Ovis aries: one gene and its partners. The main gene of each other region encodes a partner of the protein of the gene in region 4 in a complex. Links are inferred from orthologs where the notes say so. Each region holds a gene or a part of one and is shown on either strand. Other genes may lie near its edges.

Region 1 (3,566 bases), on a different chromosome or scaffold from region 4:
GGGCTGGGGGGATGGATAGTGTACCAGCATCTGCTAATACTGCAAAGCAAAATGCATGAAAACAGAAAAAAGAAATTAAGAATTCTTGATCCTACTCCTGATTTCATTTTTTAGAACTGTGATAAAATATGTAACATAAAATTTGCCACATTAGCCATCTTTAAATATAAAATTCAGTGGCATTAATTACGTTCAAATATTGTATAGCCATCACCACTATCTATTTACAATACTTTCCCATCTCTCCAAACAGAAACTCTGTACCCATTAAGCAATAACTCTCCAGTCTCCCTTCTCCACAGGCACTGGTAATTTCTAATCCATTTTCTGTCTCTATGAACCTGCCTATTCTAGATATTTCATGCAAGCGGAAGTGAAGTGAAGTGAAGTCGCTCAGTCATGTCCGACTCTTTGCGACCCCATGGACTGTAGCCTACCAGGCTCCTCTGTCCATGGAATTTTCCAGGCAAGAATACTGGAGTGGGTTGCCATTTCCTTCTCCAAGGGATCTTCCCAACCCAGGGATCGAACCCAGGCTTCCTGCATTGTAGGCAGACGCTTTTACCATCTGAGCCATCACAGTATTTTGTGGAATACAGTATTTTGTGTCTTTTTGTATCTGGTTTATTTCACTTTGCATAATGTTTTCAAGGTTCATTCATGCTGTACCATGTAGATAAACATTTTCTGGTCAAGTAATATTCCCTTGTATGTCTGTGTCAGATTCTGTTCATCTGTTTGGGCATCCCTGATGGCTCAATGGTAAAGAATCCACTTGCAATGCAGGAGATGTGGGCTAATACCCTGGAGGAGAAAATGGCAACCCACTCCAGTATTCTTGCCTGAAAGATCTGATGGAGACGAGCCTGGTGGGCTATGGTTCATGGGGCTGCGCAGTTGGACATGAATGAGCAGAGCGACTGCACACGCATGCATGCACGTTCATCTGTTCATGGATGCGTGGGTTTTCCAGCTTTTGGCAATTGTTAAAGAATTCAAATCAGCATCTCAAGACCAAGGCTAGCAAGCATAAATCTAAACTTTCATTTTCATGCATTTATTTGTAGTAACCACCAATGTATAACCAAAGAGTCAAAACAGGTATTTAGGCTAGAGGTTGTCAATGTTTTTTCCATTACAAAGGAACCAGTCATACAGATTGTATAATTCATGACTTACCTTTTCATGCCACTGCAATAACACAGCACTGCTATTGTCAGAGGGGCTCTCAAAGCCTTTATAAATATACTTCATTAGGAGATCCACACCATTCTTGTCCAGGGATTGAACTGCTTTTTCAATATCGTTAGCTTTAAAAGAGATGAGCACCTTCAAGACAATGCTGCCTGCGCGATCCTGAAGGTAAATAAACAACAGATCGTTCAGTCTCATTTTTGTGTTGGGTAGTTCCAGTTTTTAGAAAGGCTGCACTGCGAGTGTGACATTCGGGTAGAGACCTGAAGAAAGGAAGAGGACACCTTGGGTGTATCTGAGGCAAACATTTCAGAGAGAGAAGAGTAACTGCTGCTAGCGTGTGTTCAGTGTGCTCAAGGGACAGCAAGAAGATGAAGGGGGCTGGAGTGGAGTGCAGGGCAGGAAGTCAGAGAGGCAGTAGGAAGACAGAACGCGTAAACCCTGCAGGCCCTTATGAGAACTCTGGCCTCCAGTCACAGAAATGAGAAGCTGTTGGACTTCCCTGGTGGCTCAGAGGTTAAAGTGTCTTCCTGGAATGCGGGAGACCTGGGTTCGATCCCTGGGTCAGGAAGATCCCCTGGAGAAGGAAATGGCAACCCACTCCAGTACTCTTGCCTGGAGAATCCCATGGAGGGAGGAGCCTGGTAGGCTATGGTACTGAGCGACTTCACTTTTGCTTTCTTTCTTTCTAAAAAGAGTGATGTCATCTGACTTACATATCCCATGGAGGGAGGAGCCTGGTAGGCTATGGTACTGAGCGACTTCACTTTCGCTTTCTTTCTTTCTAAAAAGAGTGATGTCATCTGACTTACATTTTAACAGGACCAGCTGGCTGTCATATTGAAAATAAGCCCGGGGCAGCAGGAGGGTCGGGGGAGCAGGAGACAGAAGCCTGGAAGCCAGCTTGGAAGTTCCTGCACCAAGACAGGCTGGCTTTGGCTGGCATGGCAGCAGCAGAGGCAGCCAGAAGCAGACAGAGTCTCGACATATTTGAAGGTAGAGCTGAAAGGGTTTACTTACAGATAGATGTAACAAATTATCAATGTATTAAATCAATACATTTCACTTCTTGATTTAAAAAAAATAGACCAAAAGAAGGAAACTGAATTATAGTTCTACCCTGATGCATCCTTCAGAAATGTTATTAATAAATAAAAATTTAAGTTTCTAAAACTTATTTTTCATTTCACATCTATAGTCAAGTGACTATAGGTATTAGAGTGGTCTTCATTTATAATGATCTTTTTCTTTGATGAATGACTGCTCCAACAGCAGTTGCTTTTCACCTAGCAAGCCAAGTACACAGAACACTTAATTTCCCCTTTCAACAATGTTTCTCTTTCTATTCAACACAAAGTGATACCTTCTGCATTCCTGCCGGTCATGATCTTACAGTATGCTTCTACCACCTTTTGCTGTCTTCAGTTTAAAGACTATGCAATTATCCGTTTAGAAAAATATCCTTGTATGGAGAGCTATAACCTCCCACCCACACGCTCTGATTAAAAAAAAACACCCACAAAAAAGCAGAAGGTGGTAAAACGAAATTTCAATGACGTTACTCACTTTTAAAAACCAAAGAAGCATTTCCTCTTATAAAAGATTATGTTGCCTAGATAATAATGCATTTACCTAAGTTATTATTTACTAGTATTTAACTAAGGAGATACTTGGGGCTCCTAGGATGTGTGAATGGCTATGGACAGTGGGGGGATCAATGCTCTGGGTGTGGGATTATGGACGATTACATTTTTATTCCCCCATATTGCTGAGTTTTCTACAATACTTAACAGAACTAAACATTAAAATTTAATCTGAAAAAAAAAAGAAAAAAAATTTAATCTGGGCTTTAAACAATTAAGTAAATAGGTTCTTAAGAATTACTGAAAGATGGTTAAGAGGCAATGTAATTTTACAACTTTTCTGAAGGGTAGTATGGCAATACCATATGTAGCCTTAAAAAAATGTGCAGTCTAAAATCCAGCCATTCACTTCCAGAAATTTATTCAAAGGAAACAATTCAGACTTTACCAAGAATTGTTCATTTCAATACTATTTATGACAGGAAAAAAGTCAATAAATATATGATGAAAGTTTATATATAACTAAACTGCAGGATTATCAAAATACAGATGTTAAAAAAGATATTATAGAAATAAACTTATTACCAAGTAAAGCTGTTCATGTATGCTGCTATACAGATGAAAAGCAGTTTATCTATTTTAATGAAAAGAAAAACTCATAGAAAAACTCTATAAGCATACAGCAACAACAAAAAGTAATGATTATCTACAGGTATGGAATTATAATTATTTTCATTCCCCCACATTTCTGAGTTTTCAATAATATTTAACAGAATTAAATATTAGAAT
Region 2 (2,452 bases), about 32 Mb from region 4:
GTCCTAACCCATAACAGAATGCAGACTACAGCTCCATGTGCTAAAAAGGAAACAAAAGCATCTGCTCTTCAGACAGGCCCACTGTCAGCGGTTACAGGGAACAAAATGTGCCTTGTCTGTGTACAGGCTTGTTCCTACCTGTTTGTCTCTCCCTCCTGTAAAGAAAACCCCTCAGCATCACAGTCTTCCTGGCGAACAGCCAAGCCCAGCGTCCGGAGGGGTTGATGGGCACACCTGAGCCCACTCCCAGGACTCCCAAGTGCAATCACACAAACTGAAGACTTTATTAAATAAGCTCCAAAACTACATACAAATCAGAGGAGTAAAAACAATAGTTATTCAGCAAAACATGTCTGTGTAGCAGCCAGCAGCACTGTGGCCCAGGCTCGAGGGACCGCTGCAGCCAGAGTGAGAACACCACGCTCGCTCCCAGGCAGCTCTGCAGGGAGTTTTGTCTGTCTACCACTCCACGTCCAGTTTCCAGAACAGGCCACCTCTCATCCATGACCATCCCATTTATTTCCCGTTCCTTTTATACACATGAAACACACGGCAGAGTATATACTAATAAGCCAAGAGCTTTATTGATGCAGCAGGCACTTTACAATGAACCCAAGAGAGCCCGCCTTCTCTGGGAGGTCGGGGTGTCTGTACAAACCCTCGGGGGTTTCCGCTTCAAAAAAAAACCTAGCTCTCCCTTTTACCGCAGCCCTTGGATCTGCACCTGCCCAAACCACCCCTCCCTCCTTTTAAACAGGCAGTGCACACAGGTACCCCGGACCAAGGCGGGCCAGCCACTCTGGTAGAGTCAAAATGTCAGTTCTGCGTTACTCGTGGACAAAGGCATAGACTATCAGATCCTGCAAAGGATTTATGAAAACAGACGATCTCTCCCTCCACCTTGAAAATAAAACACTTCAGCGGATGCAGGTCGTGAAATAGTTGACTTGGGAGTTCCGAGACAGGCGGCCCATTGTCAATCCCTTCTTCGACAGCCTGTGCATCCAAAATTCTTCTTGAGGTAACATGAGTCTCTCTCTTTTTTTTTTAAACAGTCTTTCTTGCTGTAAGAACTCTTATAATGGAGCCTAGTCCTCCTACTGCTAATGCCTGTAGGGGCAGCAAAAGAAAAGGTGTCAATTGAGACCTGGCTGGCCAAGGGGCTCCTAGCTTCTTGCCAGGGGAGACAGGACTACACTCCTGACCATGTCACAGATCTTCTGAAAAAGCATTCCTGCGAGAGCACAGAAGAGGTGTCAACAGGGCCTGCATTCGACGGATCGAGCCCTTTCCTGGAACAAAGGGTCCCCAAAAGCTGTTGGCTCTTTAAGGCAGGAGAACTGGGCTTGCAACACTGTCACCAAGCTCACAGAGCCCCCCAGTTTCCCTTTGACAAGCTCACTGTATCCAGAAACAGCCCTAGGCCCTAAAACAGACACTAGCCCACTGCAGTGGAAATGTCCACAGGCTCATGCATCCGGCTGCCATGAAGGGACCAGAGAGCGTGGCCCCTCAGACGACTCCAAGGGCTTTGCTCAGCTCCCAAGCACCATAGCCACCTCCATTACGAAGCCCAGGAGCTCACCTTCTGGCAGGGCAGGCAGAACACCCACCAGCAGCACCAAAGGCCACAATTCAGCCCAGGCCTGAGGCTGGCCATGTGACTGACCCCTCAGTTAAGGGCCACTCCCTTAGTACTCGGCAGAGCCTTTCATGAGGGACACTGGCTTGACAAGAGGTGGCCCTCCCTCCACCCCCCCACCCCCTACCCACCCCCCAACACCTTGTACTAAAACAAAGGACAGGCCCAGCTTTTCCAGCTTCAGGAGGATGAAGGTCCTATTAAGAGACTGCCAAGGTATCTACCACTGTTTCTGTGTGGCCTGGTGAGGTAAGGCTGGAGCAGGAAGCCCTCAGAGCTAACCGGAGGGCTCAGCCTGCATCTAAGGCCCAGGATCACCACCTCCGCCAGCCCAAAGAAAGTATGTCAAAGCCCTGCCACCAGCAAGCCTACCTGAACCTCACCAGCCAAGTTACAGGCCCCAAGGCCTCCCCGGCACAAACTCAGCTAAAGCAATGGCAATGACCAGAGATGGTGGACCCCTACCAGTGCTTCCTTGGGAGAGGAAAGTGCTCAGATGTTCCAGGTTGCTTGAGGCGTGGCCCTCATTCTCAACGGCCTATCAGACCATCCTGTCTGTGTTTGGGACTGCCTGGCCTGTTGATCTGAACCCTGGGCTGGGGTGAGCCAGCGGGCAATGTGTTCACGTACCTTTTCATGCCACTGGAGTAACACTGCGCTGCTATTCTCTGTGGGCTTCTCAAACCCTTTATAAATGTACTTCATTAGCAAGTCAATGCCGTTTCTGTCCAGTGACTGCACAGCCTGCTCGATTTCGCTGCTCTTAAAGTTTGTAAGCACTTTCAGCACCACGCCCTGGGCCCGCTCCTA
Region 3 (4,133 bases), on a different chromosome or scaffold from region 4:
GCTGCCCGCTACCAACCTGGAGCCAGGATCCTTCTGTGCTCCAGGCAGCACTTCCCCCATGTCTGGCATACGGTGGTGCTCAGGACGAATGGACGGGGGAATCACCCAGGGCTGGGGTTTGAGGGTACAGGGAAAGGACAGCAGCCTGATGGCTGGAGGAGCTTTGGGTGTCCAGGCAGGGGTTGCCAAGGACCACATACTGGGGTGGGAACATACACTCCATGGGCGCAGGGGCATTCGTTTTGTTCATAAGTGCTTCCCCAGTACCAATTAAGAGTGCCCAGCGCATAGTAGGTGCTCAGCAAATACTGCTTGACTGTGATTGCATAAATGAATCACATCTATCTTAGTTTATTCCTTACAGACCAGCCCTATTATTTCACTGGTACATATATGCAACTTGTAAATATTTACTGGGAGTATGCGCTCAAGGTTTTTTCCTGATAGGGTCCATGATCCGAAAAGCTCAGAGATCTTTCATTTAAAAGGTCCTCTGTGAGGATTTGGGGAGAATACAGCGCCCTTCCAAAGCAAAGCAAACCAGGTGAAGCTCCCAGCTGCTCAGCCAAGGGTCTCAGACCTCACGTCTCTTCCTTACACGCTGGGTTCACATTCTGACTCTCTTGATACTGACTGGGTGCTCCTGCCAATGTTTCCCCCACATCTCTATCCAGAAAAGGCTGGGGCTGGACGAGGCACTGGGTGTAGGTTCCTTCTTGCTTTCAGAGAAGCTTTGCCAGCCCGGCCTTTTCTGCATCCAGAGGTTTGGCTGCATTTGAGGCTAAACTAGGCAGGAGCTGCCTGGAGCAAGGAACTCTGCTCTGCAGACACTCAGGGAAGTCCCCACCCAGCTCAGCCACTCGAGGGAGCTGCCAGCAAGCCATTTTGCACTCGTGCTGAGCTGTTACTCAACTTCCTGTTGTGTGTGGAACAACCCTAGACACCCCAAAAGACCAACCAATCCCTCCTCCCCAACTCCACTGCTGAGGTCTTACAAGCCAGGCAAAGTCAAGTCAAGCAAGACAAGTGAAAATCATCCTAAGGCACCATAAAGCATTAGCTAAAATAACACAGAACAAACAAAACCCCCAAACACATGAAACTTGATGCTGGCAAGACTGTGGAGAAATTCTCATTTGTTGCTAATTTGTTAAGTCTCTCTGAAGGGCAGTGTGGTAACATACAATTCCAACCAACCAGGTGGAAACAAACGGAACAAAATACCATTAACAGGAACTTTAAAATTGTTAACATTTTTTTGTGGCATAAATTCATTTCAATGCTAAAAAACACGGCCACTGCCTTTTTTTTTTTTTTTAAAGCAAACATGTTCATAGTAACTCTCTTTATAATGGTGACAGGATAGAAAAATGCAGATGACTACAAACATAAAGAGAAACAGCAAACACGTTGATTTAAGACGTGTGGATTATATACACATACATAATTAACTAATTTACTTGGCTTCTTTAAATGCCCAGAATTTACCCAGGACTTTGACATACATTCTCTTTTACGCCCTAAGAGAAGCCCCAGAACTCTTCTAGTGTTTGTTTTAACGAGTAAGAAACAGATGCAGACAAAAACCAAAGTGTGCGCGGTCACCAGCTCCTACAACGGCACAGTGTGGGGTTCTGACTCTAAATCTCAGAGGTGATAAGTGTATAGGCAGGCCTTATAATAAAAGCAAGGACAATAACAGTGCACATTTAGTCCGTGTGTGTGCCTGGCACACTGCCAAGTGTCTTACACACATGATCACATGTAAACCTCCCAGCTTGAAAGTTCCTCATTTTGCAGGTAAGCAAAGTTGAGGCCCAGGGAGGTTAGGCGGCTTGCTAAGGTCAGTGGCCAGTGAAGGAAGACGCTGGCGCTCTTAGCAGCTTCTGGTCTGGAAGACCTTGCCAGCCCAGGGTGCTCTTAACCACCGGGTAGCAGTGCCCGCCAGGCTGGGGGTGGGGGTGGGGGGGGTGGAGGGTTCCCGGGACAGCCCAGATGAAACGGAGAGCCCTCCAGCTCCGCGTCTGTACCGGGCCCGCTAAGGCTGCTTCATGCCAGCAAACCTCTGTGTCACCGTCGCTGCCCCGAGGTCCCGGCCCTGCCCCAGTCCTGGCCGCGGTCCCTGGGCCGCCGGCGAGACAGGGGCTGCTCGGAACGCGCCGGTCCAGCGCCCGCGAGCTCAGGAGGTCCGCCTCCCGGACCCCAGCAATCCCCCCTGGATCGGACCCCTTCGACCTGGCCCCGGGGTCGGCGGAGGGCTGGGGGCCGGGAGAGAAGGAGGGAGGGAGGAGGGGCGAGGCGGGCGGGGGCGCCAGCTCATTTCCCCGCTGGAGGAACCCGGAAGGCTGAAGGATGGAGGGGAAGTGACTGGGCGTGGGGGCCCTCCGGCTCGAAATAACGGGGGACACCGACGGCCGGGCAGAGTCGGGGCTCGGGGGACGGGAGAGAGGGGAGGCCGAGAGGGCCGGGCGCGGAGGTGGACGCGCGGGCTCGCGCGCCCCGAAGGCACGGAGTGCGGCGAGCGCTGCGGCGCCCTCGACCGGAGGAGGTCGCCCGCCCGCCCGCCCGCCCGCACCCCGCGCCCCGCGCGCCCGCTCACGTCCAGGGGGGCCCTCAGTGCCCCCTGCTCGTCCCTGAGCTCCCCACGGCCCCCCATCTCCTGGCGACCCCCGCAACGCCCTCCCCACCTGCACGCGCCCCCTCCTCGCGCTCCCCTCGACCCCGGCATCCCGGGCCGCCCCCGCGCCCCCTCACCTCGGGGCGCCGCGGCCGCGGACTCTGGGCAGTCGACGCGCCGAACCGGCTCTGGGCGCCGCGCCGCGCGGCCACTTCCTCGTGGGCGGGGGGCGGGGCCTCCGGGCTCAGCCCCGCGGGGCCGGGGCGGGGCCGGGCGGCGGGCGGGGAGCCCCGGGCCCGCCCTCCCTCCCTCCCCGCCTGGGGCCGCGCCCACCCGGGCCGCCCGGAAGGCTTGCTCTCCTCTCCGCGTGTTGGGCGGGGAGACTGAGGTTCGGCGAGGGGCGCAACTCTCTGTCGGCCTCGGGCCCCTCCCAGCGGGGACCAGACCTCCGCATGTGCGGGGCGTGTTGGGCAATCGGGCAGTCCGGGCCGCCGGCCTGCTGCCGGGGTCCTCACGTCAAAACGGGGGAGCCCTCGGCTGGTCCAGCCCCTTCCCAGGGCCCACTTCCTGACGCTCTTTCCACCGCAGACCGCTTCCCGTCCTTAAGTCACAGCGGACTCGCAGCCGCCTGAATGTGGTGGGTCTTGGGCCAGGTGGTCCAGAGGGGTCTCTCCATCCCTGCCCCCTGCCTCATCAATGGGGATGACCGGCAGGTGGCGCTTCCCCCAGCGTTCCGCTCAGCCAGACACTAAGTGGCATGGGCGGATGGTGTGGGGTCTCAGGAGGTCCCGGGCACCCACATGTCTCCCGGCTTTGACCCTTGCTCTTCTTTCTGCCTGGAACATTGACACGCCCTGTCCACACCTGGCCCACTTACCTTTATGTTGCAGGACAGGGGTCAGTGTCTCTTAGGTCACTTTGTCCCTGACCCCCTCAACAGGGTCCTGGGCTCACCGGTCCCAGCTCCCATTACACAATCCCAACCTGCGGGTGGCCGGGAGGAGGAAATGCGCCCAAAGGTGAGGAGCATTTTGAGATGAGCACACAGGGTGCTTGGTAAACTCTAGCTCCTTCCTGGCTCTGGGCAGACACTGAGGGGCTATTAGCAGGACCCCCGCCCCCAACTCCACACCACCACATCCAGCAGTGGCAAATATAAGTGATGGCTTCAGTCAGAAAAAAGTTTCAAGTGATCTGTACCGGCTACTCCCCCTCCCGTAAGGACAAGGGCACTTCAATGCTGCGGTGACACCTGCATCCTTGGATTCCACTTGCCTCTCCCCAGCTTCGCAGATGCCCAGGGAACACCTCCAGGTGGGACTGAGCCCCACCTCCGATGGCGGCCTCCTCCCCCTGCAGTGCTCTCACCCTAGTCCTGGACTTGTGACCTAAGAGTTGGTCAAAGCAAAGCCCAGGACTTCGGGTGAAGACTGGAGAAAAGCAGTCATCCTTCATCCTATTCGGATGAAGAGGAGAAAGCAGTACCTTCTGGAATTTGGGAAGCCTGATGACACGG
Region 4 (4,299 bases):
TTTCCGCAGCTTTACGTTAGGTGGCGGTTTACACAGGCTCCATTTTAGGTTTGGATGGTTATGAGGATGAAGTGCATAAGGTATTGGAATCGGATGCGCTTTCCTCCTCTAGGAGGCCCTACAGAGGCACTGGCCAGCTTGGGAGCTGGAGAGGTTGAGGAGCAGGACCATAACCTGGCATGTGACTGTAAGAACTCATCTACCCTTAGGGCTTTCCATTTAGGGCCTGCCAGAGAGGCTTTAAAAAAAAATCAACTTCTCAAATGGCCTATAATTTTAAAACCTAAAATGTGTTAAGAGGTAAGTTGCTTCAGAATAACAACTATTCTCATAAATTTTTAGAAACTAAATTTTAGTATCTTCTTAATCACAGAGGAATCATTAGACCTTCAGGTACCTAAATAAAATCAACAGGACTATGAAGTATAAGAAATACAGACTCTAAGTGGCTCCTAATTCTCTAAATTTTCAGAAATATCACAGCATTCCTGACTACATACTACATCAGAGCTTTCTTCATGGAGTTTCTTCATTAAGTCAATCATGTCCTATAGAAAATCTGGATATTTAAAGTAATTAGAAATACAATGCCAAACATTACACAAAGTTTTGTTTGAATTAACTACACTTTTCTACTTATGTCACAGTAACTTATCTTTTGTCTTAAGGAACAAGATTCTTAAATTATAGACATAAGGCTAATCAAATATACAATGAGTTTTGTAACAAGCTAATGAAACAGTAACATAAAACTAATTATGGGACTTCCCTGCCAGTCCAGTGCTTCCACTACAGGGGACGTGGGTTCCAACCCTGGCCAGGGAACTAAGATCCCCACATGCTACAGAGCCAAAAAAAAAAAAAAGCTTAAGAACAAGAAAAAAAAGATTTTTAATTGCATATTATGAAATAACATATACTACAAAAACTGGTTTCTCTGTCCTTCAAAGAGGAGGAATCCATTAAAATATAACAGACTTCGATTTCTAAAAAAAAAACAAAACTGACATAGTCACAAAAAAAATACATTAGTATCAATTTTTTTAAAGATTTACATTTATTTAGATGTCAATTTGAGACTACAGGGGGGAATTAGGCCAATTTTTTTTTAAAAAAGCACCTTTAAACTGAGTTTTAACTGTAAAAGGAACACATTTATAATTTCATTTAAAGACAGTTTAACATTGCATGTTTTGTTAAAAAATAAAGAACATTTTCCCAATAACTGAGTCATGAAGTCCTTCCCACCTGACCTCACTCTTATCCCTAGTCTCATGGATAACCACGACGAACATAAATTTCTCACAAATCCCTTCAAAACTTTCACATACACATATACATTTGTGGACACATAAATAACTTTAATAAAGAACACGCACATAAATGGAAGCTGCCTCTTTTTAAGTACTATGCTATTTTGTATGAACGTTGTATTAAATGATAACACTCTTCTTACTCTCATCTATTTTCAACTTAGTTCAGATAAAGCTAGTATAATCACTGCTTGTAAAAATTCAATCAAAGGCAGTATTATGGCGGTGAATATCAGCTCTTTTTTCCCCTCAACGATCCAGTTTCCAAAGTGACTTGAAGTTCATACAAAATCTATTTTAATTCATATATTACATTTATGGAAGGAAGGGGATAAAGCGACAAAATACTGCAGCTTCAAAATGGTTAGAAATTGCTTTAATGCAGGGGAAGTGATCACTACAGAACTCATCCAAAATAAGTAACAGTTCTGTATTCTAATTTGCTGACTTTGCTGCCTAAAAATTTTTTTTATTGGGGGGAGGGGCAACTAAGAGAAACAACTTTCAAATAACGTCTAAATCAGTGTTTTACTCTGATTTTTACAATTATTTGCATTTTAGGATCTTAAATACTAACATTAACTGTAGTCTGCCAATAAGGGAAAAAAGGAGGAGGGGTACCCAAACTTCCTAAGGTTAACTTCCCTAAGGTTAGTGGAATTACTACTTGGGCCTTAAAGGATCAAGATCAACCACGGAAACATACTGGTCTCTGCGGGGCTGCACCTGGGCCAAATTTCCAGCATGGAGAACAAAACGTAAATGATGCACAGCTGATCTGGCCTTCCATTCTCTCAGAAAACAAGAAAACAAAACAACAAAAGCCTCAGACACTGCGAAAGGACTGAGGTTCATTGCATGACAGCAGTTCCCTTTTTTCTTTAAACCCGTTTCCTGACTCCTGTTCCGTATCTTCAACTCTACAGGAAGAGCAAGGCCTCTTGGTCTTTCTCCTTTTTTACACATCGGCGACCCTGGTGAGTGAAGCCCTTTCGCAACGCACAAGCCCAGCCTTTTACCCCTCCAGCCCTCGAGCCAAATTCCTGCGGCTAGAGCGCTGGGCCGGCCCCGGACCGGTAGCAGGTGGAAACCCCAACCATCATCGGCCTCGCCCGCCGTCCTTACCCCGAGCTGCGGGAGTGCCCAGCTCGGGGCTACTAAGGGGTCCAGTCCGCTCGAGCCCCACACCCACGCGGGTGGAAAGCGCTGGCCAGCGGCCCTCGGACCGGCCGGCAGAGGTCCCAGGGGTGCAGTTCCGGGCGCTTTAGGCCCGCGCGCCCCCCGCACATCCGGGCCCCGGCCTGTGGCCGCTGCAGCCTCCCCGCCGAGCGCTTACCCCGGTGCCGTTGTCGCACACCACCACCTTCCTGCCCTGGCTGTCCATCGTCCTCCCGGAAGAGAGCCGGAGCCACAGCCGCTGCCGAACAACCTAGAGCACCCACCGCCCTTCTCGTTCCTCTTCCTCCTCCTCCCTCTTCCCGGCCCCGCCTTCGGTCTAACGTTTCTCCCCCAACCGGAAGTGACCGCCGGCTCTCACCCGCCACCTAACAAACTGCCTGCACGGAAGAGGCGGGGACGGGAGGAAAGAGGCCGAGACTGGCAGTGGTGCACTCCAATAAGAAAAAAAGGAGCCCGAGGCCCCGCCTACGGCGCCAGCCCGGCTTCCGCGCCTGCTCCGCCTTTAGGGTCGCCGCCCTTCCGGGTTCTTCCTGTGGGCGTCTTGTTCCCGACCCTTTGGTGGGCAGTAATAGTAGCCGAGCTGGCAGGCAGTTTCCCCTGCTTTCTAAGGCTTTGCAGGAGTTCGGCGTTTTCCGGCTGCAGGCAGATGAAGGACAACGGTCTGTGGCGAGAGGGCTTTGGAATGTGACAGAGAAGCCTGCCGGCAGGGCCGAAACAGAAGACACCCTTACTATCCCCACCATTGAATGAAACTTGGTGTGTCATTGCTTCTAGGCCTTTTCAGCAGGCAGAGCTGGGATGGGTATAGACACATGAAATCTTGCATTTATACAGATCCCCCTGATTCCAGTCCAGCCCATCTCGTCCGGGTTTGCCGTTAGTTAGGTGAGCCTCACTGCTCACCACTTCCCTTCTAGCAGCACCATATTGCTTCACACCTCTATTGTACCTGTTTCACAGGCTCTCGACTTTGAAATGGGGCAACCCTACTTTCAAATACGGCCCTGCCAACGAAGACTAATGTGATCTGGGCCTACCCCCGTCTATTTACGGGGATAGCAGTCGCTCTTCCGTGGGTGGTTGTATGCTTAAAGGAAATGGCAACCCGCTCCAGTATTCTTGCCTGGATAATTCTATGGACAGAGGAGCTTGGCAGGCTATAGTCATGGGTGGGACAAACTTAGAAACTACACAGCAAAGTAAGCAATCCATTCAGTGGACGCTATTTACTATTAATTTCATATTCTTAAACTCGAATGTGCGTGCTCAGTCGTGTCTGACTGTGATCGCATGGACTGTGGCGCGCCAGGCCTCTCTGTTCCTTGGGCTTTTTCAGGCAAGAATACTGAAGTGGGGATCTTCCCAGCCCAGGGGTGGAACCCCACTCGCGTTCATTAGCAGGTCTGGAGTCTCTATCGCTGAGCCTCTTGGGAAGCCCTGTTAAACTTCTGGTTCTCTCTATAATGCTCCTGCCTTTTTTCTTTTTAATCAATCAGGAGACATGCTCTCAGAGCCGGTTGTCACATCTTTGAAGACTTTGCTGATAACCTCCAAGATGCTCTTTATTCTCTTTTCTTGCTATTATTTTACCATGGGTGTTTGAATATTGTGCTTGTTACACTCAACAAGTATTTATTGTATGAATGACATTAATCTATTTGAAAATGCCATCATATTTGAGAGGTGAGAACTAGAACTGTGCCTTTCACTTGCTGTACATGTGTATTGACAAGAATAAAACTTGGATGATGAACCCCCAGTTTGGTATTATAATACTAGACTGCTTCTCAGTTTCACTCTGTCCTTT

What was found.
Region 1: ACTR2 (region 4) and ARPC5 share a complex: the UniProt entries of both Homo sapiens proteins name them as parts of the arp2/3 complex. The link is inferred for Ovis aries from reciprocal best matches to the Homo sapiens genes ACTR2 and ARPC5.
Region 2: the proteins of ACTR2 (region 4) and ARPC5L are in contact, whole or in part, in a cryo-EM structure (PDB 6YW6), measured with the Homo sapiens proteins. The link is inferred for Ovis aries from reciprocal best matches to the Homo sapiens genes ACTR2 and ARPC5L. Residues at the interface, in NP_005713.1 of Homo sapiens: Tyr225, Glu263, Phe266, Gln267, Arg319, Lys322, Gln323, Ser338; in NP_112240.1 of Homo sapiens: Arg11, Arg12, Val13, Asp14, Ile15, Asp16, Glu20.
Region 3: ACTR2 (region 4) and ARPC1B share a complex: the UniProt entries of both Homo sapiens proteins name them as parts of the arp2/3 complex. The link is inferred for Ovis aries from reciprocal best matches to the Homo sapiens genes ACTR2 and ARPC1B.

Annotation. Positions count from the first base shown.
Region 1 is NC_056065.1:64,118,517-64,122,082, forward strand, and holds part of ARPC5 (actin-related protein 2/3 complex subunit 5), read right to left. Parts: intron 1,357-3,566; coding exon 1,180-1,356; intron 1-1,179. UniProt on the Homo sapiens protein: Component of the Arp2/3 complex, a multiprotein complex that mediates actin polymerization upon stimulation by nucleation-promoting factor (NPF).
Region 2 is NC_056056.1:11,024,815-11,027,266, forward strand, and holds the end of ARPC5L (actin-related protein 2/3 complex subunit 5-like protein), read right to left. Parts: intron 2,450-2,452; coding exon 2,273-2,449; intron 1,111-2,272; coding exon 1,048-1,110; 3' UTR 563-1,047; downstream 1-562. UniProt on the Homo sapiens protein: May function as component of the Arp2/3 complex which is involved in regulation of actin polymerization and together with an activating nucleation-promoting factor (NPF) mediates the formation of branched actin networks.
Region 3 is NC_056077.1:37,454,947-37,459,079, forward strand, and holds the start of ARPC1B (actin-related protein 2/3 complex subunit 1B), read right to left. Parts: upstream 2,808-4,133; 5' UTR 2,755-2,807; intron 1-2,754. UniProt on the Homo sapiens protein: Component of the Arp2/3 complex, a multiprotein complex that mediates actin polymerization upon stimulation by nucleation-promoting factor (NPF).
Region 4 is NC_056056.1:43,123,921-43,128,219, forward strand, and holds the start of ACTR2 (actin-related protein 2), read right to left. Parts: upstream 2,811-4,299; 5' UTR 2,698-2,810; coding exon 2,650-2,697; intron 1-2,649. UniProt on the Homo sapiens protein: ATP-binding component of the Arp2/3 complex, a multiprotein complex that mediates actin polymerization upon stimulation by nucleation-promoting factor (NPF).